Linked DNA regions of Saccharomyces cerevisiae S288C. The protein of the gene in region 2 binds, or shares a complex with, the protein of the main gene of each other region. Each region holds a gene or a part of one and is shown on either strand. Other genes may lie near its edges. The genes, in order: NKP1, CTF19, MCM21 and AME1. A codon is read from its position in the direction of its gene.

The links.
Region 1: the proteins of CTF19 (region 2) and NKP1 are in contact, whole or in part, in a cryo-EM structure (PDB 8OVX), measured with the Saccharomyces cerevisiae proteins. Residues at the interface, in NP_015307.1 of Saccharomyces cerevisiae: Met194 (codon at 2,737), Asn195 (codon at 2,734), Leu226 (codon at 2,641), Lys229 (codon at 2,632), Gln230 (codon at 2,629), Thr303 (codon at 2,410), Met304 (codon at 2,407), Pro305 (codon at 2,404), Gly306 (codon at 2,401), Glu307 (codon at 2,398); in NP_010671.4 of Saccharomyces cerevisiae: Ser169 (codon at 4,461), Asn172 (codon at 4,452), Ser173 (codon at 4,449), Asn175 (codon at 4,443), Ser176 (codon at 4,440), Leu177 (codon at 4,437), Thr179 (codon at 4,431), Ser180 (codon at 4,428), Glu183 (codon at 4,419), Lys238 (codon at 4,254).
Region 3: the proteins of CTF19 (region 2) and MCM21 are in contact, whole or in part, in a cryo-EM structure (PDB 6QLF), measured with the Saccharomyces cerevisiae proteins. Residues at the interface, in NP_015307.1 of Saccharomyces cerevisiae: Asn129 (codon at 2,932), Gly130 (codon at 2,929), Leu131 (codon at 2,926), Gln135 (codon at 2,914), Leu138 (codon at 2,905), Val139 (codon at 2,902), Lys141 (codon at 2,896), Tyr142 (codon at 2,893), Asp143 (codon at 2,890), Thr144 (codon at 2,887), Leu145 (codon at 2,884), Pro146 (codon at 2,881), Leu147 (codon at 2,878), Met150 (codon at 2,869), Asn151 (codon at 2,866), Leu152 (codon at 2,863), Arg153 (codon at 2,860), Leu154 (codon at 2,857), Tyr156 (codon at 2,851), Leu157 (codon at 2,848), Arg158 (codon at 2,845), His160 (codon at 2,839), Thr161 (codon at 2,836), Tyr162 (codon at 2,833), Leu165 (codon at 2,824), Val167 (codon at 2,818), Val169 (codon at 2,812), Arg172 (codon at 2,803), Leu183 (codon at 2,770), Val185 (codon at 2,764); in NP_010604.4 of Saccharomyces cerevisiae: Asp156 (codon at 3,099), Leu160 (codon at 3,087), Glu161 (codon at 3,084), Asp162 (codon at 3,081), Tyr163 (codon at 3,078), Ile164 (codon at 3,075), Val165 (codon at 3,072), Leu166 (codon at 3,069), Glu167 (codon at 3,066), Val169 (codon at 3,060), Tyr170 (codon at 3,057), Met172 (codon at 3,051), Phe173 (codon at 3,048), Gly174 (codon at 3,045), Ile175 (codon at 3,042), Thr176 (codon at 3,039), Phe177 (codon at 3,036), Phe178 (codon at 3,033), Pro179 (codon at 3,030), Leu180 (codon at 3,027), Val181 (codon at 3,024), Asp182 (codon at 3,021), Pro183 (codon at 3,018), Leu186 (codon at 3,009), Glu194 (codon at 2,985), Ile195 (codon at 2,982), Glu207 (codon at 2,946), Val208 (codon at 2,943), Phe209 (codon at 2,940), Glu211 (codon at 2,934).
Region 4: the proteins of CTF19 (region 2) and AME1 are in contact, whole or in part, in a cryo-EM structure (PDB 8OVX), measured with the Saccharomyces cerevisiae proteins. Residues at the interface, in NP_015307.1 of Saccharomyces cerevisiae: Thr222 (codon at 2,653), Asn223 (codon at 2,650), Arg225 (codon at 2,644), Leu226 (codon at 2,641), Lys227 (codon at 2,638), Lys229 (codon at 2,632), Asn275 (codon at 2,494), Asn276 (codon at 2,491), Asp278 (codon at 2,485), Ile294 (codon at 2,437), Gln297 (codon at 2,428), Asn299 (codon at 2,422), Ile301 (codon at 2,416), Thr303 (codon at 2,410), Lys320 (codon at 2,359), Ser322 (codon at 2,353), Arg331 (codon at 2,326), Phe332 (codon at 2,323), Asn333 (codon at 2,320), Gln334 (codon at 2,317), Ile335 (codon at 2,314), Asp336 (codon at 2,311), Glu339 (codon at 2,302), Ile340 (codon at 2,299), Gly343 (codon at 2,290), Leu344 (codon at 2,287), Glu347 (codon at 2,278), Val360 (codon at 2,239), Phe363 (codon at 2,230); in NP_009770.3 of Saccharomyces cerevisiae: Lys249 (codon at 3,827), Leu252 (codon at 3,836), Arg255 (codon at 3,845), Leu256 (codon at 3,848), Leu259 (codon at 3,857), Leu263 (codon at 3,869), Leu264 (codon at 3,872), Asp277 (codon at 3,911), Ser278 (codon at 3,914), Glu279 (codon at 3,917), Ile283 (codon at 3,929), Arg284 (codon at 3,932), Asp286 (codon at 3,938), Ile289 (codon at 3,947), Leu290 (codon at 3,950), His294 (codon at 3,962), Val296 (codon at 3,968), Asp297 (codon at 3,971), Asp300 (codon at 3,980), Tyr302 (codon at 3,986), Asn303 (codon at 3,989), Lys307 (codon at 4,001).

The regions. Positions count from the first base shown.
Region 1 is NC_001136.10:1,235,712-1,242,449, forward strand, and holds NKP1 (Nkp1p), read right to left. Parts: upstream 4,966-6,738; coding exon 4,249-4,965; downstream 1-4,248. Other genes in the region: phenylpyruvate decarboxylase ARO10, read left to right, coding at 1-414; RNA-binding protein YRA1, read left to right, coding at 847-1,131, 1,898-2,293; COI1 (Coi1p), read right to left, coding at 2,601-2,919, 3,114-3,139; ribosomal protein P2 RPP2B, read left to right, coding at 3,781-4,113; putative ammonium permease ATO3, read right to left, coding at 5,493-6,320. UniProt on the Saccharomyces cerevisiae protein: Component of the kinetochore, a multiprotein complex that assembles on centromeric DNA and attaches chromosomes to spindle microtubules, mediating chromosome segregation and sister chromatid segregation during meiosis and mitosis.
Region 2 is NC_001148.4:513,824-520,966, reverse strand, and holds CTF19 (Ctf19p), read right to left. Parts: upstream 3,317-7,143; coding exon 2,207-3,316; downstream 1-2,206. Other genes in the region: IRC15 (Irc15p), read left to right, coding at 734-2,233; VTC3 (vacuolar transporter chaperone), read left to right, coding at 3,949-6,456; SUMO protease ULP1, read left to right, coding at 6,789-7,143. UniProt on the Saccharomyces cerevisiae protein: Component of the kinetochore, a multiprotein complex that assembles on centromeric DNA and attaches chromosomes to spindle microtubules, mediating chromosome segregation and sister chromatid segregation during meiosis and mitosis.
Region 3 is NC_001136.10:1,100,291-1,107,404, reverse strand, and holds MCM21 (Mcm21p), read right to left. Parts: upstream 3,648-7,114; coding exon 3,596-3,647; intron 3,513-3,595; coding exon 2,458-3,512; downstream 1-2,457. Other genes in the region: auxilin-like protein SWA2, read left to right, coding at 1-1,310; YFT2 (Yft2p), read left to right, coding at 1,578-2,402; HIM1 (Him1p), read right to left, coding at 3,977-5,221. UniProt on the Saccharomyces cerevisiae protein: Component of the kinetochore, a multiprotein complex that assembles on centromeric DNA and attaches chromosomes to spindle microtubules, mediating chromosome segregation and sister chromatid segregation during meiosis and mitosis.
Region 4 is NC_001134.8:643,429-650,214, reverse strand, and holds AME1 (Ame1p), read left to right. Parts: upstream 1-3,082; coding exon 3,083-4,057; downstream 4,058-6,786. Other genes in the region: NGR1 (Ngr1p), read right to left, coding at 311-2,329; ERV15 (Erv15p), read right to left, coding at 4,237-4,665.

The DNA.
Region 1 (6,738 bases), on a different chromosome or scaffold from region 2:
AAAGAGGACTATAAGCCAAGATTAATTTTGTTTGAAGGTGACGGTGCAGCACAGATGACAATCCAAGAACTGAGCACCATTCTGAAGTGCAATATTCCACTAGAAGTTATCATTTGGAACAATAACGGCTACACTATTGAAAGAGCCATCATGGGCCCTACCAGGTCGTATAACGACGTTATGTCTTGGAAATGGACCAAACTATTTGAAGCATTCGGAGACTTCGACGGAAAGTATACTAATAGCACTCTCATTCAATGTCCCTCTAAATTAGCACTGAAATTGGAGGAGCTTAAGAATTCAAACAAAAGAAGCGGGATAGAACTTTTAGAAGTCAAATTAGGCGAATTGGATTTCCCCGAACAGCTAAAGTGCATGGTTGAAGCAGCGGCACTTAAAAGAAATAAAAAATAGAAACTTGTGGGCGCAATTATAAAACACTGCTACCAATTGTTCGTTTTCTGTTCATTAACACATAAAAAACCCTTATGTAACTATATTTACAAAGTAAATACGTATATTAAAGCTATTTTACCACTACCACAGAGTTCTTTGTCCAGTTGCTAGTATTTTTTTTTTCGCGACGAGGCAGGGGCGGGGAGACGTGTTGTTTTTCCACGGCTTTCGGCTCACCACTTGAAGAACTATAAAAGGCCGCCAAATTTATCCTTTTTCACTTCTTCCGTTCGCTTTTTTCTGTCATTCCTATCGTGTGTTTAGTAGTAGGTTTTTTTGTTAGAAGAAGTTTTATCCGAAAACTATCGAAGACAAATAGATAAAAAAATCTCCCTCGTTCTATTTGAAACTTTAAGAAATCCATATTAAGAAAATACCTACATCTGCTAAATGTCTGCTAACTTAGATAAATCCTTAGACGAAATCATTGGCTCTAACAAAGCAGGAAGTAATAGAGCCCGTGTCGGTGGTACTCGTGGTAACGGTCCAAGAAGAGTTGGTAAGCAAGTTGGTAGCCAACGTAGGAGCCTTCCAAACAGAAGAGGCCCTATCAGAAAAAATACTAGGGCACCTCCAAACGCAGTCGCTAGAGTTGCCAAGCTCTTGGACACCACTAGAGAGGTCAAGGTCAACGTCGAAGGTTTGCCAAGGGACATTAAGCAGGATGCTGTAAGAGTATGTTAATACGTGAAATGAGAGCTATTTGTTTAGTTACTCGCATCGTCTCGTGTGGATACGAGAAATATTCTTTGTAAGGAAGGATATGGCACACGCTTTTGATCAAGAATTCTCTTTTTAGAGATGAAGAAAGAGTCCGAAATACTTCGCTAGAGAAAATACAAAAAGAGTATCGTTTTCATAAGCCAACCATACCAATTTTTTTCAATACTTCAAATCATGGCCTATAAGGTTGGAATTACCAGCTACCACTGAGAATGGGTTTGTTCTTATTGGCTGGGTTAACTCAAATCAATCTGACTATCTGCTAATCTGTCAATCTTACATTTTTAAGCTGGCGTATTGTGTCGCCTCGACCGTGATAGTTAGTTCCTATTTTTAATAAGCGTATCATCCAATACTGAAGTTGTGGAAGGATCAATTAATTTTGTATCCTTTCAAGAGGGAGTAGCTTTCAGTTTCGAATGGCACCATTTTCAAAAAATAGCTATGGGAAACATGTCTTTCATGAACGTTCGAAAAGATATGAGTGCATCGCTTCATTTTTTTATTATGATAGTTACAAAAATATTTGATTTGAGACACCTAATGAAACCAAAGAGGAACTCACCCATCGTGGTACATGTTTATTTGAGGGTTTATTTTTCCTACGCAATGGTATACTTTTAATACTCTCAACTCCTTGATTGTTTGTGTATTGTCCCTTCCTTCTTTGATTTTATATCATAGAGATATATGACTAACTTTTTTTTTTTTATTATAGGAATTTTTTGCATCTCAAGTAGGTGGTGTTCAAAGAGTTTTGTTGAGTTATAACGAAAGGGGCCAATCTACTGGTATGGCTAACATCACATTCAAAAACGGTGAATTGGCCAGAAGGGCTGTTGAAAGATTTAACGGCTCTCCAATCGATGGAGGCAGATCAAGATTGAGACTTAACCTAATCGTTGATCCAAACCAACGCCCAGTCAAAAGTTTAGCCGACAGGATCAAGGCTATGCCACAAAAAGGCGGAAACGCTCCAAGACCAGTAAAGAGGGGTCCAAATAGAAAAGCTGCTATGGCAAAATCCCAAAACAAACCAAAGAGAGAAAAGCCTGCTAAGAAAAGTCTTGAAGATCTGGACAAGGAAATGGCGGACTATTTCGAAAAGAAATAATTAATTGTCAATTTTTTGTTTGATTTAATTTGGTTTTATTAAATTTAATTTTTCCGAGTTTCATTATGTATTAGTTTCCAGAAAATTTAAAGGATTAAAAAATGTATTAATAAAACTTTGATATGTTTATGTAATAATATTTACCACCGCCACTAGGTGACGCTAACCTACTCATCGGTGACGGCTTTTCTCACTTTTAAAGTTTATTCGGCATATTTGACTCATAATATGTCACTATTTACAGTGCGATGAATATATATATACATAATACTGCATTGAAAAAATGGATAGGTTGATTAAACGTGTGTTACTCGTTTCTCCTCCTATCTAAAAAACCTAATTTGTCACCTCTTTTTCTTGTTACAGCACTAAGCCCGCTACCTTCATATTTACTCTTTCTTACTAATTGATGGTCCTCAGAGCAATCAATGTTGTCTCCTCCATCTTTAGGTATGGGGAACCCTGGTTTGACTTGAGCAAGGTTATCATAATAGTTTTTTTCATTCACTTCACCATTGTTTCCCCGCGCCTTTGGTATAAATTTAGCATCTCTTCTAGCTTTCACTATGGTCTTGACCACATAAATAGACGCAATCCCGGCTGCAGAAATGTATAGTAAATTCTTACTGTTGAAATCGCATTGGTAGTGTTTTCCTACTTTCGTCTTCACTTTGGTTATATATATGGTGCAATCAAACTCTGCTTCAAGGGATAGGCCAATAAGGAAATAACCAAAAAAGAAGTCCGGGAAATAGAAAAAGATATCCAATGTTAGTTTAGGCTTTACGAATAGATGTTTCCCTATTTCTTTTACACATACCCTATATTTTGAAATGGATTTGACATTGTATACTTAGTACGGCTCAAAGAATGAAATATTACTATATTTATCTCTTCATCTGCCTTGATTTTTTTATATGCAAGCAGGACGCTCGGGTTTGTAAGGAGGAAGATTGAAAAGGATGTCTTCAACTAAAAGGCGAAGAAGGAAGCGACACATTTGTGATGCTTTGAGGTCAGTAATGTAATATATATATATATATATATATATATATATTATATAGTGTAACTGCTCTTATTTATCTTGTCTATTCGAACCCAACAAAAAAGGCTGCAGTGGGAATCTGTTCATGTGGCTGTATCACAACCAAGGGCTACCGTTTAAGAATACTGGAGAGCTCTTGTCGTCTCTAATTTTATGATCACGTGCCCATTCTAGTCATTACGCAGGTAATGCGAAAATTACAGTATGGATCGTGTAAAGTTACCAAGCAGAAAAATTGTAATAATTTTCTTTTTCCAAATTTTCTCGGTATCTGAAATTTTTCATTTAAGAGATGATATTTGGACTTACTCTAAACTATTACTTTACGTATCTTTGATTTAACTTCCAGTTACAGATCGTTAAGGAATAGTCCGCGAATTTATTACCGCTTAAACTGATTATTTCAAATATAGAAAGTAATATCTATTAATCAACAACAGAAATGAAATACTTAGCTGCTTACTTATTATTGGTTCAAGGTGGTAACGCTGCCCCATCCGCCGCTGACATCAAGGCCGTCGTCGAATCTGTCGGTGCTGAAGTCGATGAAGCCAGAATCAACGAATTGTTGTCCTCTTTGGAAGGTAAGGGCTCTTTGGAAGAAATCATCGCTGAAGGTCAAAAGAAGTTCGCTACTGTTCCAACTGGTGGTGCTTCTTCTGCTGCTGCCGGTGCTGCCGGTGCTGCTGCCGGTGGTGATGCTGCTGAAGAAGAAAAGGAAGAAGAAGCTAAGGAAGAATCTGATGATGACATGGGTTTTGGTTTATTCGATTAAGGAATTTAATTAATAAACAATTTTCTTGTTTTCCTTCATTTTACAAAATCTGGTGTAAATCCTCGATTCCATTGTGATTTAAAAATAATTAATTACTGTATAAGATTCTATATAGACAATTAATTGAAAATAGTATTACTTCTTTAACTCGCTTAGGATTTTTTTTATTTTTTCTCTCTTTTCCGGAGAATTGCCAAATGTTTTCACGGCCTCTTCCAATAATAGCTTCATTTCTTCCAACGCAACTACTAGTTTCCCATTGTAAGTGGCGAAGTACTCGCTGATATCATCATCTTCAGAAGCTTCTTTAATGGAAGTTGTTAAAGAATTTATAGAATTTGTTTGGCTCAGAATATCTGATAATTTACTTTCGCCTATTTGGAGAGCCTGACATTTCAGTATTAAATCTTTCCTTAAATTACTATACTCGCTTAGAACTTTGAGATCATTTTCCACTTCAACTTCCTCTTCGTCTGCTACTTCCATCTGCGGCAGCTTCAACACATCTTCAATTAATCTCTCTATCGATGTACTCTGAGGTTCACCCTCAACTCTATTTCTTAGTTCACTTCCAAGAGAGTACTTTGGTATGTCTCCAACAAGTTCCATTATCTGCTGCGATTGACTGGCTCTCAATTCAGACTCGTTATCGTATATCTCTTTGCTCAGTAAGTCTTGTTTTCCCCTGCTCATGGCATCCTTTCTCTTTTCAATTACTTGAGCCTTTAGTAATCTGCACACTTCATTTGGTAATTCGCCTGCTAGGTCATCCATGAGGTAGTCATCACTCGACAGCAGTGCGGTCAATTCATTTTCTATAAAATTGGATATGCTATTATATGTGTCTGTCATCTTATTCCTACAATCTATTGTTGCTTTAGTTTCTGTGCACATTTACCAAAAATATTTCTTCGCATGTAGATTTACCTCTTTTCCCCTGTGACGCGTCATCGTTTTTATATCACCTTTGAACAAAGCAATATATCTGTACTCAAAAGGTACAAACGAAAGTTTTGTTCACGAGAAAGAGATATTTTACATGCGAATTAAATCTTGATTGCCTGAATTCTTCACTATTTTATGATTTTTCCCTTCCTTCTTGAAATTTGATTTATATTTAGTCCAAATATTACAGAAAAAAAAAAAAAAGATGCCTAAGCCTTGGGTCTTATTTCGAACAAATCCATCCATCGGTAACAATTCAAAAAAAGAATATTTCGTCTCGAACAATTTGCTAAGTATTGTGGGTAAATGATATATAAATTTTTATAAAAACTCTTGGCCAAGAAAAAAAAAAAAGACTATGTCTAAACGTAACGTTATCATTATTATTAAATCATTTTAATGTTTTATAAGTTTTGTTTTTCATTTCATACCCTTTAAGGAGCATTTGGCATTGTGTGCGCCCTGAAGGCTAAATAAGAATTTGAAGGACTCACCACAGAACAGTATAGCGAATACCAACCGCAGCAACTACTTAAAATTCCAAAATAGCCACCGGCCATTTTGAGATTGTTGTTGTCAATGAAGGTGCCGATACACAGTAGTAGGAAGGTAAGATCCAAAAACGTCAATAGTAAGAACAAACCCCACGTGCTCTTCAATGTACACATCAACATCAAGAAGGTGAAAACGGTCCAGCCCGCAAGGAAGAACCCAATGACATTGTTCAACATTGTGGGATCGGTATAGCCGCTGACCAAATTATCAGTATCTGTTAGCCCATAACCGTAGCAGATCCAGAACCCGCCGAAAGAACTGAACACAGTCATGGCGTATGTGTCCCCAATGACAAAACACAATAACCCGGCAAACAATTCAATGGCACCACCAAAAAACATAAACAAACTTAGCGCCCATTTACCATCAGTGACGCCGCGAACGTTCGCATTAATTAGCGACAGAACTAGACATGACAGAGAAAACGATGCGAGACCCAAAGGAACCGGATTAGCGAACTGGTGCGGAGTATACTTTGCACAGTTTCCTTCCTCCCCATCCCCTCTGTCTAGTGCATTGAGCAAATCTCTGCGCCTGTAGGTGGAGGATCCTAGAGTAATGAAGTCTCTGTCGGAGTATATCTCTTGAATATTAGGGAAGCCCTGCGAAACGCCTGCAATCGAACCCTGCTGGGGGAGCGTCTCAATATTTTCTAGAGTGTTCACACCCTTTTCCAAATCCTGTGGAGAAGAAGCAGACGATGTCATTTTAACCAGTATTTTTATTTTTTATTCTTACTAAATCTTTCTGGGAATGTATTCAGTTATATGTGACCCAACTGTTTATAAAACTGGGGGAATATTAGGCAATCAAGCGAAGCTCATCGATGAGTATTCAATTTGCTAAAAAGTTGTTTTATTTAAATATTCCTTCTGAGTCACGGTCATCGTGAATAGCGTTAAAATTCTCAAATCCATTGGTGTTTCCATTAGGCCCTGAGCGGTTCCCCAAGAAAAAAAAAAACAGTAGAAAAAAATGATGCTTCTTCCTAACGCTATTGTAGTGCAGGTTCTGCCGTGTGCCAAGTTGGAGCAGCGCCTGCTGAGACTCTTCCGTATGGTTCTTGCTCTTCTCAGGACCAGCGGCGGCAGTTCCGGTTTTTTTCGGCGTCTTTTGTCTGGCACA
Region 2 (7,143 bases):
ATTATTATTATTATAAGACACGAAAAGAAAGAAAATAGAGATAGAAAAAGAAAATTTTAAGAATAATGAGTGTAATAGGAAAATAGCCGCCAGTCAGTGATTATTACCTGGTGAACAATAATCTGCAATCCGTGAGAGGAAACAACGCGAAATGCCAAAGCAGAGATGGTGTAATAAGGATAGAGCCACACAACAATACTTTCTAGAAAAATAAATAATAAAAAAATAAGGTAAACAAAGTGTAATCAGTTGCCTTGCCGTATAGTGTTTTGCGGTATAAATATTGTTATTCAATACGAATGATGAATACCGGAAGGTGGTTATGACTAAAACGCAATGTGAATATGATTACAACTGGCAACAACCACAACAGAAACAACAATAATGCATAGTGGTAATAATACGTAAAGTCAATCAGCGTTCAGTTTTAAAAAAAATCTTTTCTCGGTGCTTTGGGGAAGGAGGGGTGGCGTCGTTTCGTAATCGGAGATACCCAAAGTTCATATCACGATAAACGTCAGTTCCGGGTTAGAATAAATTTATGCGGTAGTTTCTGTGCGAACTTGAGTGCGGTGGCATTTTCCTCCGGCGAGGCCTGGGTGGAACACTCAGGCAGGGGGTACACCCAGACCTGCAGGCATGCATCTGCTGTTTCGGCGGCTATTTAACATGCGCACGATTTTACGAGAGGAGAAGAGAAGTATGATATAATTAACGGTGAGCATTTTTGGTAATGGGAGGTGAAGACGAAATATTAAGCACGATGGAGGATTTTGCGGCAGTTTACGATGTCCTGGTAATTGGTTGCGGGCCTGGTGGCTTTACTGCAGCGATGCAGGCTTCGCAAGCAGGCCTGCTCACAGCATGTGTTGACCAGCGTGCCTCGCTGGGGGGCGCCTACCTTGTAGACGGGGCAGTCCCGTCCAAGACCTTGTTATATGAGTCTTATCTTTATCGGCTGCTACAACAGCAAGAACTTATCGAGCAACGTGGCACGCGGCTGTTTCCTGCAAAATTCGATATGCAGGCGGCCCAGAGTGCACTCAAACATAATATAGAAGAGTTGGGCAATGTGTATAAACGTGAGCTATCTAAAAATAATGTTACTGTGTATAAAGGCACGGCTGCTTTCAAAGATCCTCACCACGTTGAGATTGCGCAGCGCGGCATGAAACCGTTCATCGTAGAGGCGAAATATATTGTTGTGGCGACCGGATCTGCGGTTATTCAGTGTCCTGGTGTTGCAATAGATAATGACAAGATAATTTCATCTGATAAGGCATTGTCACTGGATTATATACCTTCACGTTTTACTATCATGGGAGGAGGTACAATTGGACTAGAAATCGCATGCATATTCAATAATTTGGGCTCTCGGGTTACTATCGTTGAATCTCAAAGCGAGATCTGTCAAAATATGGACAATGAGTTGGCTTCTGCCACGAAGACCCTCTTGCAGTGTCAGGGTATAGCTTTTCTTTTAGACACTAGAGTGCAGCTCGCGGAAGCCGATGCTGCCGGTCAGCTGAACATCACCTTGCTTAACAAGGTGTCAAAGAAAACATATGTACATCATTGCGACGTCTTGATGGTTTCTATTGGTAGACGTCCCCTGCTAAAAGGTTTAGATATTTCCAGCATTGGTCTAGACGAACGGGATTTTGTAGAAAATGTTGACGTACAAACCCAAAGTCTGCTAAAGTACCCTCATATTAAACCCATAGGAGACGTTACATTGGGCCCCATGCTGGCGCTGAAAGCGGAAGAACAAGCTATAAGGGCCATTCAATCAATAGGCTGTACAGGCTCCGACGGAACCTCGAATTGTGGCTTCCCACCAAATGTGCTGTACTGTCAGCCTCAGATTGGCTGGGTCGGATACACTGAGGAGGGGTTGGCAAAGGCTCGCATCCCATATCAAAAAGGCAGGGTTTTGTTCTCACAGAACGTTAGATATAACACGTTATTACCACGGGAAGAGAATACTACAGTTTCTCCTTTCATTAAAGTTCTGATAGATTCTCGTGACATGAAAATACTAGGCGTTCATATGATAAACGACGATGCAAATGAATTGCTGTCGCAAGCATCGATGGCGGTGTCGCTTGGCCTTACCGCCCATGATGTCTGTAAAGTACCGTTCCCTCATCCGAGCTTATCGGAATCGTTTAAGCAAGCCGTCCAGTTGGCAATGGCAAATGGAACATCACCTGGCGTACATGTCCGGGAATAGGCAAACGTTGCAGATCTCCTTTAACCCGGTTTTCACACCATATTCCTTGATAAGTCCGTAGCATATCTCGTCCAAATCTATCTGGTTAAATCTTTCTCCCCCCTTCCATAGCGCTATTGAAATTTTACTCATGGGCAGAAAACAGTTACGAGGTTTGCCTCTCTCACCGGGCATTGTAATGATGAAATTTATCTGCAATTTTATCGTCGTGAGTCTTCCTTCTCTAATAACTCTTTCCACAATTAATGAGTCACTATTATTCATTAGATAACACCTGGTTTTCCTTTTCAATAAATTAATCAAATTTTGGAAAATTCCAGTTTTTTTGGACTTGATCTTATCAAACTCATAAAGGCTTAATAGACACTTCTGGAAGTTACGTGTTGCCAGTAATTGCTTGGCCTTCAGTCTAACGTTTGTGGAAATTCGCAAGATTTCCCACTTCAGCAGTGTGGAATCTTCAAATTTATAGAACATTTTGAACTGAATTTCAAAAGGATTCATCGTGTTTCTGCAGAATTTATAATTGACCACCAAAACTTCAATCCCATCGTTATGTACTCTGTCTCTTGATTGCACAGAAACTTGAAGATGCGGGTATGTGTGGTCTCTCAAATAACTTAGCCGTAGATTCATATTTAACAAAGGTAACGTGTCGTATTTTGTTACTAGTTCCTTCTGCAAGTTAGTTAGCCCATTGATCCTCTCGACCCGCTTGCGGTCACTTATCGCCGAATTAGGATTAGAGGATGAGATCGAGATTAGATTAAGAAAATCCTGTGTGATATCGTTTTGGAGGATATCACCATTTTTAGTCTTACTGTTATTTTCCTTCATCAAGATATTTTGGTACGTCTGGATCTCTTGTAAAAGAGTATTTCTCCTTGTCAACAGCGCATCCTTCTCCTCCTGTAGCTTCAGTGCGCGTACCTGATCATCATCTAATAGCGATAGTTGTTGCTTCTCGTCCCCATCAATGTTTACATCTGCTTCACCAGCATGATGTGTACCCACAGCGTCTTCCAGACTTAAATGCGAATTCGATGTGTCGTGCGAATTCGTCGTATCAGACGTAAAATCCATATTTGCGTTCTTTGCCGACCTAGTATCAACAAGATCACACTAGCTCCAAGGTATATAGCTGTTTATATAAGTCTAAATTACGCGTTTCTGATTTTTCGGCGGACTCCAACTATTAGATAGTCACCATTACCGGTTACATTACCGGCCACATAGTAGAACGCCAGAGTATATATGCCGTGACCTTCACGGTTTGGATGTTAATGAGTAACTTGCACAGCTATTGGTATTTGGACTTCTTGGCACATTTTTCCCTGTACAGCTTTTCTTTTTTTCAATGTGCGAGGGCCCACGTGGCTTAATACAACACAGTGCAGTCGCAAGCACGTGCATGCGATTTTGAAAGCACAAGGCAGAAACGTGGAAACATACACACACGCACACACCCAACTTTCGAGTGGGTTTCATCCAGGAAGAACTTTTAAATAGAGGCCAGAGAGCGGCTTACATCAGACATCTTTTCTCGAACTTACTTCATCTTCTCAATATCGAGAGGGCCCATTGGCGGGTAATAATACGCATAAGAGTGATCTAATCCAAGTAGTACCTCCTTAGCGCTTTTTTTATTATCACTATAGGTCATTTGGCTATTAGAGCGAACAGCAGAATTTGTCCTTGGTTTTCAGAGTTTGAAAATGCTATTTGGTATTAAACTGGCTAACGACGTATATCCTCCCTGGAAGGATTCATATATCGACTATGAAAGGTTGAAGAAATTACTAAAGGAAAGCGTCATACATGATGGCCGTAGTTCCGTGGATAGTTGGTCCGAAAGGAATGAATCTGATTTTGTGGAGGCCTTGGATAAAGAACTAGAAAAGGTTTACACATTTCAAATTTCCAAATATAATGCTGTCTTGCGAAAATTAGATGATTTAGAGGAAAACACTAAATCAGCTGAAAAAATCCAAAAAATAAATTCTGAGCAGTTCAAAAACACCTTAGAAGAATGTCTAGATGAGGCTCAAAGATTGGATAACTTTGACAGGTTAAATTTTACTGGGTTTATCAAGATTGTGAAGAAACACGATAAATTACATCCAAACTATCCTTCTGTAAAGTCTCTTTTACAAGTCAGATTGAAAGAACTTCCTTTCAACAATTCAGAAGAGTATTCTCCCTTGTTGTATAGGATCTCATATCTGTACGAGTTCTTGAGATCAAATTATGATCATCCAAATACGGTGTCTAAATCATTAGCAAGTACTTCTAAATTATCACATTTTTCTAACCTTGAAGACGCAAGTTTTAAAAGCTACAAGTTTTGGGTTCATGATGATAATATAATGGAGGTTAAGGCTAGAATCTTAAGGCATCTACCTGCTTTGGTTTATGCGTCGGTTCCAAATGAAAATGACGATTTCGTCGATAATCTAGAATCAGATGTCCGCGTACAACCTGAAGCGCGCTTGAATATTGGTTCAAAGAGTAACAGCCTTTCTAGTGATGGTAATAGCAACCAAGATGTTGAAATTGGAAAATCAAAGAGCGTTATTTTCCCACAGTCATATGATCCAACAATCACTACATTATATTTCGACAACGATTTTTTTGATTTGTACAATAACAGATTGTTGAAAATCAGCGGTGCACCTACGCTGAGATTAAGATGGATCGGTAAACTGCTAGACAAACCTGACATATTTTTGGAAAAGAGAACTTTTACAGAAAATACCGAAACTGGTAATTCAAGTTTTGAAGAAATCAGATTGCAAATGAAAGCCAAATTCATCAACAATTTTATTTTTAAAAATGATCCCAGTTACAAAAACTATTTAATTAATCAACTAAGAGAAAGGGGTACTCAAAAGGAGGAACTGGAAAAACTTTCTAGAGACTTTGATAACATCCAAAACTTTATTGTTGAGGAGAAGTTGCAGCCAGTTTTGAGAGCTACCTATAATAGAACTGCTTTCCAAATTCCTGGAGATCAAAGTATTAGAGTCACTATCGATTCCAATATCATGTACATTAGAGAGGATTCTTTGGACAAAAATAGGCCCATTAGGAACCCTGAGAATTGGCACCGTGACGATATTGATTCCAATATTCCCAACCCATTGAGGTTTTTAAGAGCAGGAGAATATTCGAAGTTCCCCTATTCTGTAATGGAGATTAAGGTTATAAACCAAGATAATTCTCAAATGCCTAATTATGAGTGGATTAAAGATTTAACTAATTCACATTTAGTTAACGAAGTTCCAAAATTTTCTTTGTACTTGCAAGGTGTGGCTTCACTGTTTGGTGAAGACGATAAATATGTCAACATTTTGCCATTCTGGTTGCCCGATTTAGAAACCGACATCAGAAAGAACCCTCAGGAGGCTTACGAAGAAGAGAAGAAAACTTTACAAAAACAAAAGAGCATTCATGATAAACTTGATAATATGAGAAGGTTATCCAAAATCTCTGTACCAGATGGAAAGACCACTGAAAGACAAGGGCAAAAAGATCAGAATACTCGCCACGTTATTGCAGATTTAGAAGATCACGAATCATCAGATGAAGAAGGTACTGCATTGCCCAAGAAATCTGCAGTCAAAAAAGGGAAGAAATTCAAAACGAATGCAGCTTTCTTGAAAATTCTTGCTGGAAAAAATATTTCAGAAAATGGAAATGATCCATACTCCGACGATACAGACAGTGCCTCTTCTTTCCAATTACCTCCGGGAGTTAAAAAACCAGTTCACCTTTTGAAAAATGCCGGTCCTGTCAAAGTTGAGGCAAAAGTTTGGCTCGCCAATGAACGTACATTCAATAGATGGTTAAGTGTAACCACATTGCTGAGTGTATTGACCTTTTCTATCTATAATTCAGTGCAAAAAGCCGAATTTCCACAACTAGCTGATCTGTTGGCCTATGTATATTTCTTTTTGACTTTGTTTTGCGGAGTATGGGCTTATAGAACCTACTTAAAAAGATTAACTCTTATTAAAGGTAGAAGTGGTAAGCATTTGGATGCACCTGTGGGACCTATTTTGGTTGCAGTTGTATTAATCGTTACCTTGGTTGTTAACTTTAGTGTGGCTTTTAAAGAGGCCGCTAGGAGGGAAAGAGGATTAGTAAACGTTTCCTCCCAGCCTTCGTTACCCCGTACACTAAAACCAATTCAAGATTTTATCTTCAATTTGGTTGGGGAATAAGAACATGTATATTTTTTATATACACATATATTACACAAGTACCAGTTACTATCATAATTAATTAATTGTTCTCTATTTATACATATTTGCTCTTCCGTATTAAATCATATTAAACAGCTTTCAGCAGGTGCCGGCGCCGCCTCTTTTTATTTTCAAAATTCAAAATGCACATAATGAGAAGATGTGTGTGATAGTTAAACCCAGATCAAAAAATAGCTGAAACGTTCGTTTCAGCTCCGCAAATCTATATTGCTAATTAAAATTATTCATCAATATCTACTTCTGTTTCAGTTTTTTTCCTCTTCTTCCTCTGACCTTTGGATATCATAATAATGTCAGTTGAAGTAGATAAGCACCGGAACACACTACAGTATCATAAAAAGAACCCTTACTCCCCTTTATTCTCCCCAATTTCTACATATAGGTGTTATCCTCGGGTATTGAACAATCCCTCCGAGTCTAGAAGATCAGCCAGTTTTAGTGGTATTTATAAAAAAAGAACCAATACGTCAAGATTCAATTATTTAAACGACCGCCGTGTTTTATCAATGGAAGAATCAATGAAAGATGGGTCAGATAGAGCTAGTAAAGCTGGTTTTATAGGAGGCATAAGAGAAACTCTTTGGAACTCAGGTAAGTACTTATGGCACACATTTGTGAAAAACGAACCTCGCAATTTTGATGGTT
Region 3 (7,114 bases), on a different chromosome or scaffold from region 2:
CCTCCTTCCCACCTGAGGCAAATGATAGACTGAATAATTACTCAAAAACTCATGATAAGGTTGAGGATTATGATTTGCCTCAAGTAAACGACTCACCCAATAGAATTTTGTTTGAAGATAATGAAGTCGTAGAGAACTTACCACCTGCCGATAATCCGGATCAAGATCTTTTAACTGATTTCGAAACAAAGATTGATATAACAAAGAGGACAGCGCCTGATGTCTCCCACTCCTCCTCACCGACTTCTGGTATACTAATTGAAGAAAATTCGCGAAGAAATGAGCCCCTGATAGAGGATAGTCTTCTCGACTTTTCAGAAGGAAATCTCACCAATAGTAAAAGCAATGAAGATAGCACCCTCTTCAATGAAAACAGCAACACTGACTCTACAATACCCATCTCAGATATTGAATTATCGGGGTATAACGAATTTAAGGCGAAAGGTACTAGTTTGTTCAAGAACGGGGATTATATTAACTCATTACAAGAATATGAAAAGTCTTTAAATACATTGCCTTTAAATCATCCATTGAGGATCATTGCATTATCAAACATTATTGCCTCGCAACTGAAAATCGGTGAGTACTCTAAGTCCATAGAAAACTCCAGCATGGCTTTGGAATTATTCCCATCAAGCAAAGCTAAGTGGAAGAATAAAATCTCAAATAGTGACCCTGAAAGATCATTTAACGACATCTGGCCAAAGATTATGATTAGGCGTGCTGAGTCTTTTGAACATTTAGAAAGTTTCAAAAAAGCACTAGAAACATACCAAGAGCTGATTAAGAAGAATTTTTTTGATGATAAAATCATGCAGGGAAAAAGAAGATGCCAAGACTTTATTAATCCTCCCCCTGTTAAAAAATCCATGCCCGTTAAGAAGAAGACAACGACAACCTCGCCTGCAACAAAAAAACAGAACTTAACCGCTTCTTCTTCAAATTCTCCAATTTCTGTTGATAGCACTTCAGAAATAAAAAAACGGGAGCTAGAAAACGCTAAACTGGCGCTATATGATAAAGTATTTGAGAAAATTAGCTCCTGGAAGGATGGCAAAGACGATGACATTCGTCATCTGTTAGCAAATTTATCCAGCTTACTAACATGGTGCAATTGGAAGGATGTCTCTATGCAAGATTTGGTTATGCCTAAGAGGGTCAAAATTACATACATGAAAGCTGTAGCCAAGACACATCCTGATAAGATACCAGAGTCCTTGTCCCTGGAAAATAAGATGATTGCAGAGAATATTTTCAGTACTTTAAGTATTGCTTGGGATAAGTTCAAACTGCAGAATGACATTAACTGATTTCCCTTGTGTGCCTGCTTCGCTCAGTTGTTTTTGATATGTACTTTATACAAATATATATAGGAAAACAAATTCTTCAAAGCGCGTTAGGAAAAAGTATGGAAAGGCTTAGTTTCATTTATTGACTTACAAGTGGCACCCAATTTGATTAATATGAAAAACAATCTGCAAAAAAAAAAAAAAAATTCAAAATATCACAATGTTAAAACACAATAGAAATAGGGCATTGTATTAAAACCACTGAACGACTAAAAATTGAAAAAGATTATGATACGTCAGCTCAATTATTGGTCAAGGAAGGCGTATCTCATTTACCCCTTTCAAGTTTTTGTAGGCGCATTATTATCAATAGTAGTATCTTCAGAAACATTAAACCATCAAAAAGAGACATGCGCTCTATTGAAATCGTCCAATATTTTCAATGTTATTTTTGCATACAAAGCGAACCAACTGTGGCCATTTTTATTCTTTAGTTTGGCTTTTCTGCAAATATACTTCCACTATCTAGCAAGAATGGATATATTGCCTTTACCAATATCAAGTACCGAAACTAGCTCTTCCTATTTAACATATACTAACCATTGGCCTCTGCTCAAAAATAGAATAATCAGTATTATGATCACTCAATATGCTTGCAAGTTCGTTCTAAAATATCTATTATTGTTTTTGAATTTCCAATTTATCGATCATGTTTTCATTTGGACAGGGGGAGAATGCAGTTCTGGTAGTAAAACGACATCAGCTGAAAAGTGCCGTCTAGAAAATGGGAAATGGGATGGTGGGTTTGACATTAGTGGACACTTCTGCTTTCTTGTGAGTATAAGCATGATTCTTTGGATGGAACTTCACTTATTCAGTAGATTTGTTCAAGCTGAAGATATGTTTTGGGTTGTGAATAAGTGGGTACGAGCTTGCCTTGCCATTGTTTGCGCTGTCCTAGTAATTTGGATATGTATTCTCTGGGTTACCGCTATTTATTATCATACTATCTTGGAAAAAGTGTTAGGTTGCCTTATGGGTTTCATATGCCCTGTTTTCATATACCACATTCTACCCAAAATTGGGATACTACACAATTACTTATATCTATGATAAACAGAGAAAATTAGCTCTATCCTCTTTCTATAAAGTATATTTTTGTTAACATTCACTTGAATATTGTCGCGAAAGAATGGTTTAATTTTAATTCCAAATCATCCAAAGAACCGAGCAATGCAATTTCCCATTTACTTTTATTATTTTGACTAAAATCATGAATATCGTCCAATATTGAACATGAAACTATTTCATTTTGTTTTACAAACAACTCGACTTTAATATCCTTCACAAAAAACGAAACCATTGAAGATTCTAAATCTAAATCTAAGTCGTGGATTATCTTCTTAGCTTCTAAGTCCTTAAAAATCTGTCGTCTTTTCTGTACTTCCACAAGTTGCAGGAAGACTCTTTTAGCAAATAAATAGGCGTCATCATGAGATATCACTAGTCCCCCATTGGTGTCATCAAATATACCTTGGACATCAATGAAACTCGGGATTGTATGCTTGAACAGGAACCAACTATTCGATTTGATCCTCTTTTTCAACAATACATAGTGAGGTTTTTCAAATTGGGATGTCCGTTCGCTGAAGACTTCCAGTCGTATTCCCAGCATTTCTCTATCAACAAATATTTCACCGCTAGCATCTTTTATCTTAAGGTCAATAGGGTCCACAAGAGGGAAAAATGTTATACCAAACATTCTATAAACATTTTCCAGGACAATATAATCTTCCAACTCACTTCTATCACTTGTACTAATATCGTCTATTTTTAGTTTTCGCTTTCTTTTTGAAGGTGACGTTAGAATGTCTGTATCCAATAAATCTGCCACCCCAGGATCAAACATTTGATGCTGAACCATTGGCTGGGTCTTTAAAACCCATTCTTGTTCTGGTAAAATTTCCTCATTCTCCAGCTTAGCTCTTTTCTTTGGTTCATACGGTATTGGCGTTGCTGGTATATCCGCTTGCGCCCTTGATATGTCCTTGTCATCTGTCTCTTCCAATTCTGGATGCTCATTAAATAAAAAATTATTCAACTGTGGGAATTGATCGAATAGATCTTCAAATTCTTGTACTATAGGATTAGCGCTCTCCTCATTTTTTCTTTTATCTTTTATCTTCGCTTTGAGCTTCTCACGACTTTCTTCTAATGAATTGACTGTGAAGATTCTACTATGTTAGTGTTCAACTTAATCATTTTTTTAAAAGAAAGAAAATTGTTACAGCCTCAAAATCACATACTTTCACTGAGTAAAGATTCAATGTCCTGCTGTAAATCATCGATTCTACTCATTGCCAGGAGCGTTACTGATAGTTTGAAAGAATTGCTCAAGTAAAGAAATCACATTTTCCCCTCATTATCCATATGGCTTTTGTTTGTTTTTTCTTCAGTTTTGAAATATGCGCGTTTTCTTACCATCATTATAAACTTAGGGAAGATCTATCATAGAATTGGTCGGCCATTACTGGCGATTAGTAAAACAATACATAAAGTTTGCATATTCAATGCGATAAAAATTTAAGACGGCCCAGGTATCGAATCCATGATATAGTGGTTCTTTTATGTATTAGGCTACTATTTATTTAATAACTTCGCATCTATCAAAAGAAAAGACTGACTGTTCACACAATCATATCAATTTGATAACTGCTAATTACTTCCAGCTTAGGTCCCGCCTCTTTACTTTTCCTTTCAATCGCCATCAAAGAGGCAACATAAGAAACCTTTGAAACTGGGACAGCGTATCCTAATAATGCAGATCCTGGCATCCTATATATACTGGAAGCAATTATTTCGCTTAACTTTGTTCTTAAGCCAATCCTTCTGGCCTCACTGATATATTTCTTTTTATAAACTAAAAGATAGTGAGGATAATAAAAAATTTTTTCCAAGAAAGTGGAGTTTTCTTTACCCAATTCAACGTTTATAGGATTTCCGTGCTGTCCACACATCGGACCTGGCCTCAAAATAACTAGCTCCTTTAGCTTATTTGGCAAAGCTTCATCCAAGTCATTTTCTAATTTAGCTTTTATTCTAAAATACTCGAAAGTTTTACTAAGAAAATCATTATTAAAGGCAGTTGTAACCACCAACCTTTTGTTAGTTGTATTCGTGAATTCTTGTGCTAAATTAAAAGGTAAGTAATAGTCAGCAAAGGAACTTGGTACCTGAGTTCTCCGCACTCTAGCTGAGGTGGAGCCCAAAGAGCACACCATAGTGCTAATATCACACAGACTAGGCAAACTTCTACCGGGAACGTAATTTTTGTTGTCAATGTCAAACTTTTCCAGCTTTTGTGTTCCTGAGAATATCCGTGGAAGCAATTTTGGCCAAGTTTCAGATCTGGGGATGATCAATTGCGTTACAGTAAAATTACAAATGATCTCAATACCTTTTTCCTTTCCGCATGCATAATGTAGTGTGTAACTGAACTGTTTCTGATTATAAACAAAAGAATAACCATCTTTTCCCCTCTCTTCAGGCGTATTTTTAATAAATCCTTCTTCAAAATTATCATAACAAAAAGTATTAGGACTAGACGGTACTTTTTCAGTGTCTTTTTCTTTCCTGCTTCTCAAGTAATATCTGCCACCTTGCCAAGTAACTGATCTCATATTTATATAATCAATGGTCTTCATAAATGATTTCTCCTCATTGATGCACCTTCTATTAACACAAAAGACATGTTTATTGAGAACGACATTTCCCTTTATTTCACTTAAGCTATCAAGCTTGCCTTGTAGGTCCGAAACATTTTTAATATATAAATTTATGTCCAACAGGTTCTCTAAAATACCTTTTCCTACTAAACTAGATGATCCAAACAATAAAACGTAATCTGTAAACGTGTTGACACTATAACTCATTTCTGATCAACCTTTCTAGTTTGGAATATTCTTCAAAGGGTCTATATGTATAAAAAGCTGTCATTTATATTAAAAAGAATTTATAGCGTTTACTGCGGATCAAAATTAAATACGTCAATTTTTCTTAAAATTTCTTTTAATCTAAATGACACAAAAAATGTCACCCATCATTATATGTATTGAAAACCAAAAAAAAAAAAGGAAAATTATACTTTCAATGAAAGACACAAAAATGAAGAAGTTCAAGGATATAAAAGTTAGTTTTTACCTGTTGAATTATATGCAGAGTTACTGTTAAATTACAACAACTTATCGTTTCTTGATGAGTATTCAAGGTGACGGAATATTATCATATATGATGTAATAAAATGACATAAATGATAAGAATGCGTTATCAAATTTAAAAGCAACTGAAACGCACGGATTGATGATAAAAAAGGATAACGATTGGTAACATTTAGACTAAAGAATAGATCGTAATATAGGAGATTTGAGAAATATGTGGGTAATTAGATAATTGTTGGGATTCCATTGTTGATAAAGGCTATAATATTAGGTATACAGAATATACTAGAAGTTCTCCTCGAGGATATAGGAATCCTCAAAATGGAATCTATATTTCTACATACTAATATTACGATTATTCCTCATTCCGTTTTATATGTTTATATTCATTGATCCTATTACATTATCAATCCTTGCGTTTCAGCTTCCTCTAACATCGATGACAGCTTCTCATAACTTATGTCATCATCTTAACACCGTATATGATAATATATTGATAATATAACTATTAGTTGATAGACGATAGTGGATTTTTATTCCAACATACCACCCATAATGTAATAGATCTAATGAATCCATTTGTTTGTTAATAGTTTGAATGTTTTTATCGGAAGAGGTTTGGTCATTACGTCTGCAATATTCTTTTTGGTTTCGATATAGCATACGTGCAGATGATTTCCTGATACTTCATCTCTTAGTCTCATTGCTTTAGTACCAAAAAATCTGTTTCTAAATTTCTCTTCATTATTGGATATAATTATACTGATTGTAGATTTACTGTCGGTTAGTAATCCTTTAGTAATTGGTTTCTTGTTAAGTTCTTGCACAAGGTGACTGAGGTTATTTAATAATGGGACAGATTCACTTATCGCGTGTATTTCTGCTTCCGTAGTTGAAGTACATGTTAATGAAGCCTTGGTGGACTTTCCTCCAATTACCTTTCCATTAAGTAAATATATGTTGCCAATTTGTGACTTGTAATATGGTTGGTTACCATATGAAGCATCACTTATTGCGACTAGTTTATTATCTGGCTCGGTAGGTTTGTTTTTGTGCCATATCAGTTGTTTATCTCTAGTGTCCCACATGAATTGTATTAACTCATATGTCATGTCTAAAACTTGCCTAGAGGGGAATAGTATATGTTGAGCAAGTGTGTTGATGTAGTATAGTAAGTCAAATCTAAATTTATATCCAACATATGAAGCTAGACCAATCAACTTTTGCATTTCATGTACCTTCTCTTTGTATTCATCTTCATCTATTTCTAGTTCATCCTGGTCTATATAAAGACCTGGTTGACCTGGAGCGCTAAGTTTTCTTCCTTTTGGATTCAAAGGTACGTTTAATTTGGGTATTTTCTCAGTTAATGAGTTTTCCATACCTAATTTCATGTATTTACCTCTTTGATATTTGATTTCTAAGCCAAGTATGTCGTACTGAATTTCGTTATCACTTTCACCCAGATTTATTATCTTTGTATCGTATTGTTTCTTGAGTGTTGTTATGATTTTCTTATTTGCATTTAAGTCTTTGCTGAACAATATCATATCATCAACGAATAAGCAAATTGTTACTTGACTATTCTTAAATACGCATGACCATCCA
Region 4 (6,786 bases), on a different chromosome or scaffold from region 2:
GACTTTGTAGCGATTTTCACATTTTTTTTCCGTCAGCATGGCTATTATAACACGTGAAATTATGACGCCAGCTTTTCGCATATATAGTTAATATAAAACACTTTGAAACGGAACTGTTTGAGTAAATAAATGTACTTAGATAGATAAAAATAGATAGGTAGTATAGAGGAAAAACAAATTTGATTAGAATTATGGATCGACAATTGACTAGGTTGTAACTGAAATGGCATTAATAGAAGAAACGTAAGAACGTAGAGACGCAGATAAAACTGCGGACAAGATTAAAATTTTCTTTTTTTGTCTTTTGTAATCAATGTAGAAGAGAAGGATGAATTGGCGGAACATTGTTCCTATTAGGATGCTTGTTCATGATGCTCGATTTCGAATTATTGGAATTCGGGGCTATATTTAAGGGAGGAGTCATCATCCTGGACACGTCATACATATTTGCACCGTTTCCCATTCCGTATGGTACTGGATTTACGTTCATGTTCATGTTCATGTTAGAATTCATGATCATGTTTGTGTTAGGGTTTGTGTTCATGCTTGAGGCCGTTTTATTGCTGTTGCCATTGGGCAGTTGCATAGAAATTGACATCGCGTTCCCAAATTGAGGTAAGTTATTAGTAGCATTGGAGAATTGGTTGCCCGTCGGATGGAGCGAGTATGAGGGACTTGAATATTGGTGTGGGTACAGTGCACCGTCTTCTTGCATATACGGGACATTAGATCTCTGCAGATTAACGAGGTCGCTATGGCTGCCATTCTTGTTCCTGTGATAATCGTAATTATTGTAGTTGTAATAGTTGTTGTGCGCCATTTGCTCCATAGAAAAGTTACCATCCTGTTGCTGCTGCTGCTGCTGCTGCTGCTGCTGATGTAAAAAGAGTCGCCTTTTATCTTCCGCATATTGTTCAAGAATTTGTTTGGAGTTATCGACTGAAGAAGCCGCAGATGGCGCTCTCAGGCCATTTGAGGACATATATTGGCTTGCCCCCATGATGGTCGAATTTGTTTTAGCATTTGAACTGGATGGGCGTCCCCATGATAATCTTATTGGACTGCCGCCCACAATAAAGCCTTGCAGGCCTTGTATTGAAGCTTCAGCATCAATCCTCTTCTCGAATTTAACAAACCCACAGTTTTTACCATTGGGAATCCTGACATTTAGAATGGGTCCAAAGGGTTTGAATAGTGAACGTAATTGAAATTCGGTAGTTTTTGGTACCAGTCCTCCCACAAAAACAGTAGTATTAGTGGGGTCTGTATTATAGGTGTTTGAAGGTAGTGAATCATTTACACGCATGTTTGAAATGCCGCCCTCATTCAAATGCATTGGAGGCGCGTTATGCAAGGCATTGAGAGGAAGCATGTTGCTATTGTTTTGAATGAGATTATTTGCAGTCTTAATCAAGAGAGGGCCATTATTATCCTCCTGATCTAGCTGCTGATGCTGTTGCTGCAATTGTTGTTGCTGTTGTTGTTGTTCCTGTAACTGCAGCATCATATTATTTCTTGGCGTGGCATAAGCGACTCTTAAGGCCCTTCCTTGAAACCATTTCCCACTCATCTCAATCAGTGCCCTGCGGCGCTCATCTTCATCACCGAATCTGACAAATCCAAAACAACGAGATGATCCTGTTAAAGGGTCAGTCATCACGCGGACGGTTTTAACAGATTTGAACCTCGTTTGGAAAAGAGATAACAAATCAGCTTCAGTGGCGGTGGGAGAAAGATCACCAACAAACAAGGAAAATTCTGGGGTAGATGGTATAGAACTTTGTAAAGTAGCTCCAGACGCCCAATTCAATCTGAAAGTCCTTTTGAACGTTGGATTAGTTTGGGAGTTAGTTGTTGGGGAATAAAAATTAGGTAAAGGTGTAGCATTTAATGACAGGGCAAATTTAGCGTCCTTTTGAGTTTCAAATTCGACAAAACAGTATCCGGCATGATGTAATTGAGTAGTGGAAGGATCAATGAAGGATATTCCATTAATATTAATCATTTGGGAATTATCTAACTGATCAGTGCTGTTTGATGCAGATTGCTGGTTTTCAGCATTCTCCTCACTTGTGTTGTTATTACTACTTGAGGTGGAGCTACAAGGAATCAACAAATTTTTTTTGGCTCTAATTAGTTTAACGATAACTTTTTTATCCAGTTTTGACCATATCTCCTCAATCGTGGCCTCGTCGAAGGACGGATCCAAATCTCCCATCCATAACGTTCTTGGGGGTTCAGTAGAAGTTTCCACTGTGGATGAAGGAGGCAATGGAATAATATATGGATTTTCCTGTCTTTGGGAGGCGTTAGCAACGTTAGACATCATTTGTGTAAATTTTTCAGGCAAAAATCGATGGCGAAGGATATGAAAAAGCTGTAATATTTAAAAGATCCAATAATAGTAAAAACAATATAAATCAGAACGAAAGGGAAAGAAAAAAGCCTCCTTTATTAATATTGGAACAGGAAGAGAATATCAAAAAATGAACCGGGAAAAAAATGGAATTACAATATATGACAATATAACAGATTCGATCACGAGAAATCAGAATATTTGGAACTAGGATATAACACGCAGATGGTTTTCCGTACAACTATGAAGAGTCAGAGAAAAAAAAAAATAGTGAATAAGAATGGTAATCTCTTTTATTGCTTCTTTGTCGACTGCGTCTATGTATATTGGTTCTAAAGGGAACAGGGTATGATAACCAGATTTAATTACAAATATGCTTATTTTCACTTTTAATGGAGTGTATGAAGGTGCGAAACTGCTTGCTTGACTAAGATTTGGTCTTGAATACAAGTTTGGGGAACGCTTTTTGGAACGGCACTATCGCCCCTTCACAGCCGTTTGAAGCTGGTAGAAAATATTTTATCGTGTTGTACGGAGAAATTTAATGGTGTATCCAAATATTGTTAAAGGACTAGTAGAAATGATAATGATTGATTTCATTAGCTATTATGGCAAGGGTCAACATCGTTGCAGTATAAGAAGCGATTGCTCTCATTTTTTTACGTGTCCTGTGTTGCTCTGTATTGTCTTGACTATTTGCGTGTTCATTTAAAGAAAAACCTCAGTATGGATAGAGACACTAAATTAGCTTTTAGGCTGAGGGGCAGTCATTCAAGAAGGACAGACGATATAGATGATGATGTTATTGTATTTAAGACGCCAAATGCTGTTTATAGAGAGGAGAACTCACCTATTCAATCTCCTGTTCAACCCATTTTGTCTTCACCAAAACTTGCGAATTCTTTCGAGTTTCCTATTACCACTAATAACGTAAATGCGCAGGACCGTCATGAACATGGGTATCAGCCCTTGGATGCAGAAGACTATCCCATGATCGACTCTGAAAATAAAAGTCTTATAAGCGAATCGCCGCAAAATGTTAGAAATGATGAAGACCTTACTACTCGTTACAATTTCGATGATATACCCATTAGACAGCTATCATCGTCTATCACTTCTGTGACCACAATTGATGTTTTATCTTCTTTATTCATAAACTTATTTGAAAATGATTTGATTCCGCAAGCTTTGAAGGATTTCAATAAAAGTGATGATGATCAATTTAGGAAACTATTGTACAAATTAGATCTGCGACTCTTTCAAACGATATCAGACCAAATGACCAGAGACTTGAAAGACATATTAGATATCAACGTGTCGAATAATGAGCTCTGCTACCAACTGAAGCAGGTACTTGCTCGAAAAGAAGATTTGAACCAGCAGATAATATCGGTACGAAATGAAATTCAAGAGTTGAAAGCCGGTAAAGACTGGCATGACTTACAAAATGAACAAGCCAAACTGAACGACAAAGTGAAGCTAAATAAGAGGCTAAATGATTTGACTTCTACTTTGCTAGGCAAATACGAGGGAGATCGCAAAATTATGAGCCAAGATAGCGAGGACGATTCAATACGGGATGACTCAAATATTCTGGATATTGCACATTTCGTAGACTTGATGGATCCATATAACGGACTTCTGAAAAAGATAAATAAAATTAATGAAAATCTTTCTAACGAATTACAACCAAGTCTATAGGGAATTGGTTCAAAAGATGTATATATATATATATATATATATATATGTATGTATATATGTATATATGTATATATGTATTACTTCCATACTAAGGAAGTTGTGTTATAAGGTCATTTTTATGTGGTAGACATACTTCATAGATATGCACAAATCTCTCTTTTTTTTTCCTGTTGTCGCTATTAGCTTATCAAATTTGCATCATTTTCAAGTAACGCTGTGACCATTCTGTAGAAGTAGAAAAAGAATATGAGAAGGTAAAATCCCAATTTTAAAAAGCATTCAATTTTGCATCTACCCAATTTTCTGAAAATATCCGTGGCGTCCAGTAGATGTGTTTTCTTGTAGACTTTACTTGCGTTATATGCTAGAACAGGGACATTCAAGAGAAATACGAACCAGTACCCGTTAAAAAGAAACAATGCAGAAATGAAAGCTTGTAGAATTGCCTCTGGTACACTCAACCTATTCACCCTCTTACACAGTTCGATTGAGTTGATATAGTCTGCTTCAAGATCACCATATAATATAGTAAAGTATATCTGGCAAATGGAATTCAAACAATTCAGTATAAGACCCGTCACGAATAGCGATAATCCGGTTCCTGACATCTTTACTCTTGGCTTCGAACTTCTTGGTGCCTGCAGTTAGTTTTATCTTTAGTAAAAAATGATAATGAAAGTGCTTATATGAATAAAGGTATTAATGTCTTCGTATTTAGCAATGTAATTGAAAAATCATTCGTGGCCCACGACAATATTTCCAAATTATCACAGCTTTCGATAGAAGTGAACGATTTTGAATTAGAGAGAGTAGTAGTGAGCTAGACGTACTGTGTTTTGAGAATTGAAGTTTGTATAGCAAAACTATACTATCATAATGCAACATTCAAGAAAAATAATGGTATAGAAACAAAAAATAACTCCGATACGGGGAGTCGAACCCCGGTCTCCACGGTGAAAGCGTGATGTGATAGCCGTTACACTATATCGGATAATAACTTATGTTTGATTTAACCTTAAAGATTTTCTATGTCAAGTTTAAACTGGAGGGCTTTCTATTGCCGAACAATCCTAGCTAAAGGCTTTTTTCCCTATTTACAGAAGAAAATGTAATGACTGAAGATTTTGAAAGGTCTCGTTTGATGGCTAGCAGGCTACACCTAGAATTACCCAATTCCAAAGGTTGGTCATCATAGGAAAACAACCAGCATGAACCTTACCCTAGTTCTCTTGCTACTATTTCACATCATCAGGTGATGTCAACTCAGCTTATTGTCAGTGACGACGGATTAGCATTGATACCTGATGTCATTTTAACACGTGTGTTGGATGGGATCCTATACACACCCAAAGAAGATGATTTTTACAACGACACCACCACCATGTATTATGTTTTTGCCACCTGGGGTGATCAAAGTTGGTCATCCTTCGGTTATGATAATACAGCAAGCCTGCAAGAGCACGAAAGATATGTTTTCTAACTTCTTGCCGAGCAGGGAATATTGGGGATTTGGACCGTTGGAATAAATGGGTCCTCAATATTGACAGGAGTCGGTTTTGGAATGAGAATTAACTATCATTTAGTGATGGTAATCCTATTACTAGAATATTATCAGATACAATGTTAGAGGACAATAGGAATACATAAAATAGAAGAAATAATGATGGCATTACATCGAAATATCGATTACACTATATCTTGGAGGAGAACTTTTTATTTTATTTTGTATATCTGATGCTATAGCCTCTAACAATAAGTTAATCCCAACAACTATCTCAATATTCATATAATCGTCTGAGAGATTGATAACAGCTAGTAATGTAGCTAACAGTCAAAAGATAATAAATGATTCATCTTCCAACAGCTTGCGGGGAAAGTTTTTCACACTAATGTGCGGTGTTGTTTTCCTTAACAGGCTCTGAGCAAAATATGGAGAGAGAGGTCTCATTTACTTTGCCATTCTTCATTTAAGCTTGAGGCTTGTTCTACTGAAATGTTAAGTTCTCAGAAGCCAACTTTGGATCAAAGGGCTTTGTTAGTAGCAAAACGCTATTTCTATTGATTTTGATTATTTTTCGAAACATTAAGAGCACAATGTATATTAATTTTCCCTGATGAATAGTTAAGATGATTAGATGGGCTAGGCGCTTAAAAATGAGAAACAGGTGAAATTTGAGATAAATGTTGATTTCGTTGTTGCTAAAGGCTATAATATCAGGTATACAAAATATACTGGAAATATACCTCGAGAATCTTGGAATCCACGAAAGGGAATAGATATTACTCCATAATAATATTATGTTGGAACGAGAGTAATTAATAGTGACATGAGTTGCTATGGTAACAATTCAATGCTTACATCGTATATTAATGTACAACTCGTATACGTTTAAGTGTGATTGCGCCTATTGCAGAAGGAATGTTAAACGAGAAGCTCAGACAATACTGAAGCTGTGTTAAAGACCTATTAGTTGAACATGTTATGGTAGGTACATATATGAGGAATATGAGTCGTCACATCAATGTATAGTAACTACCGGAATCACTATTATATTGGTCATGATTAATATGACCAATCGGCGTGTGTTTTATATACCTCTCTTATTTAGTATAAGAAGATCAGTAATTATTTCTTCATTAATACTAATTTTTAACCTCTAATTATCAACATATTATTTCTCCTTTCGTTTTATCTGATGTCATTCATTGATTGCCAGCAACTATCCCAA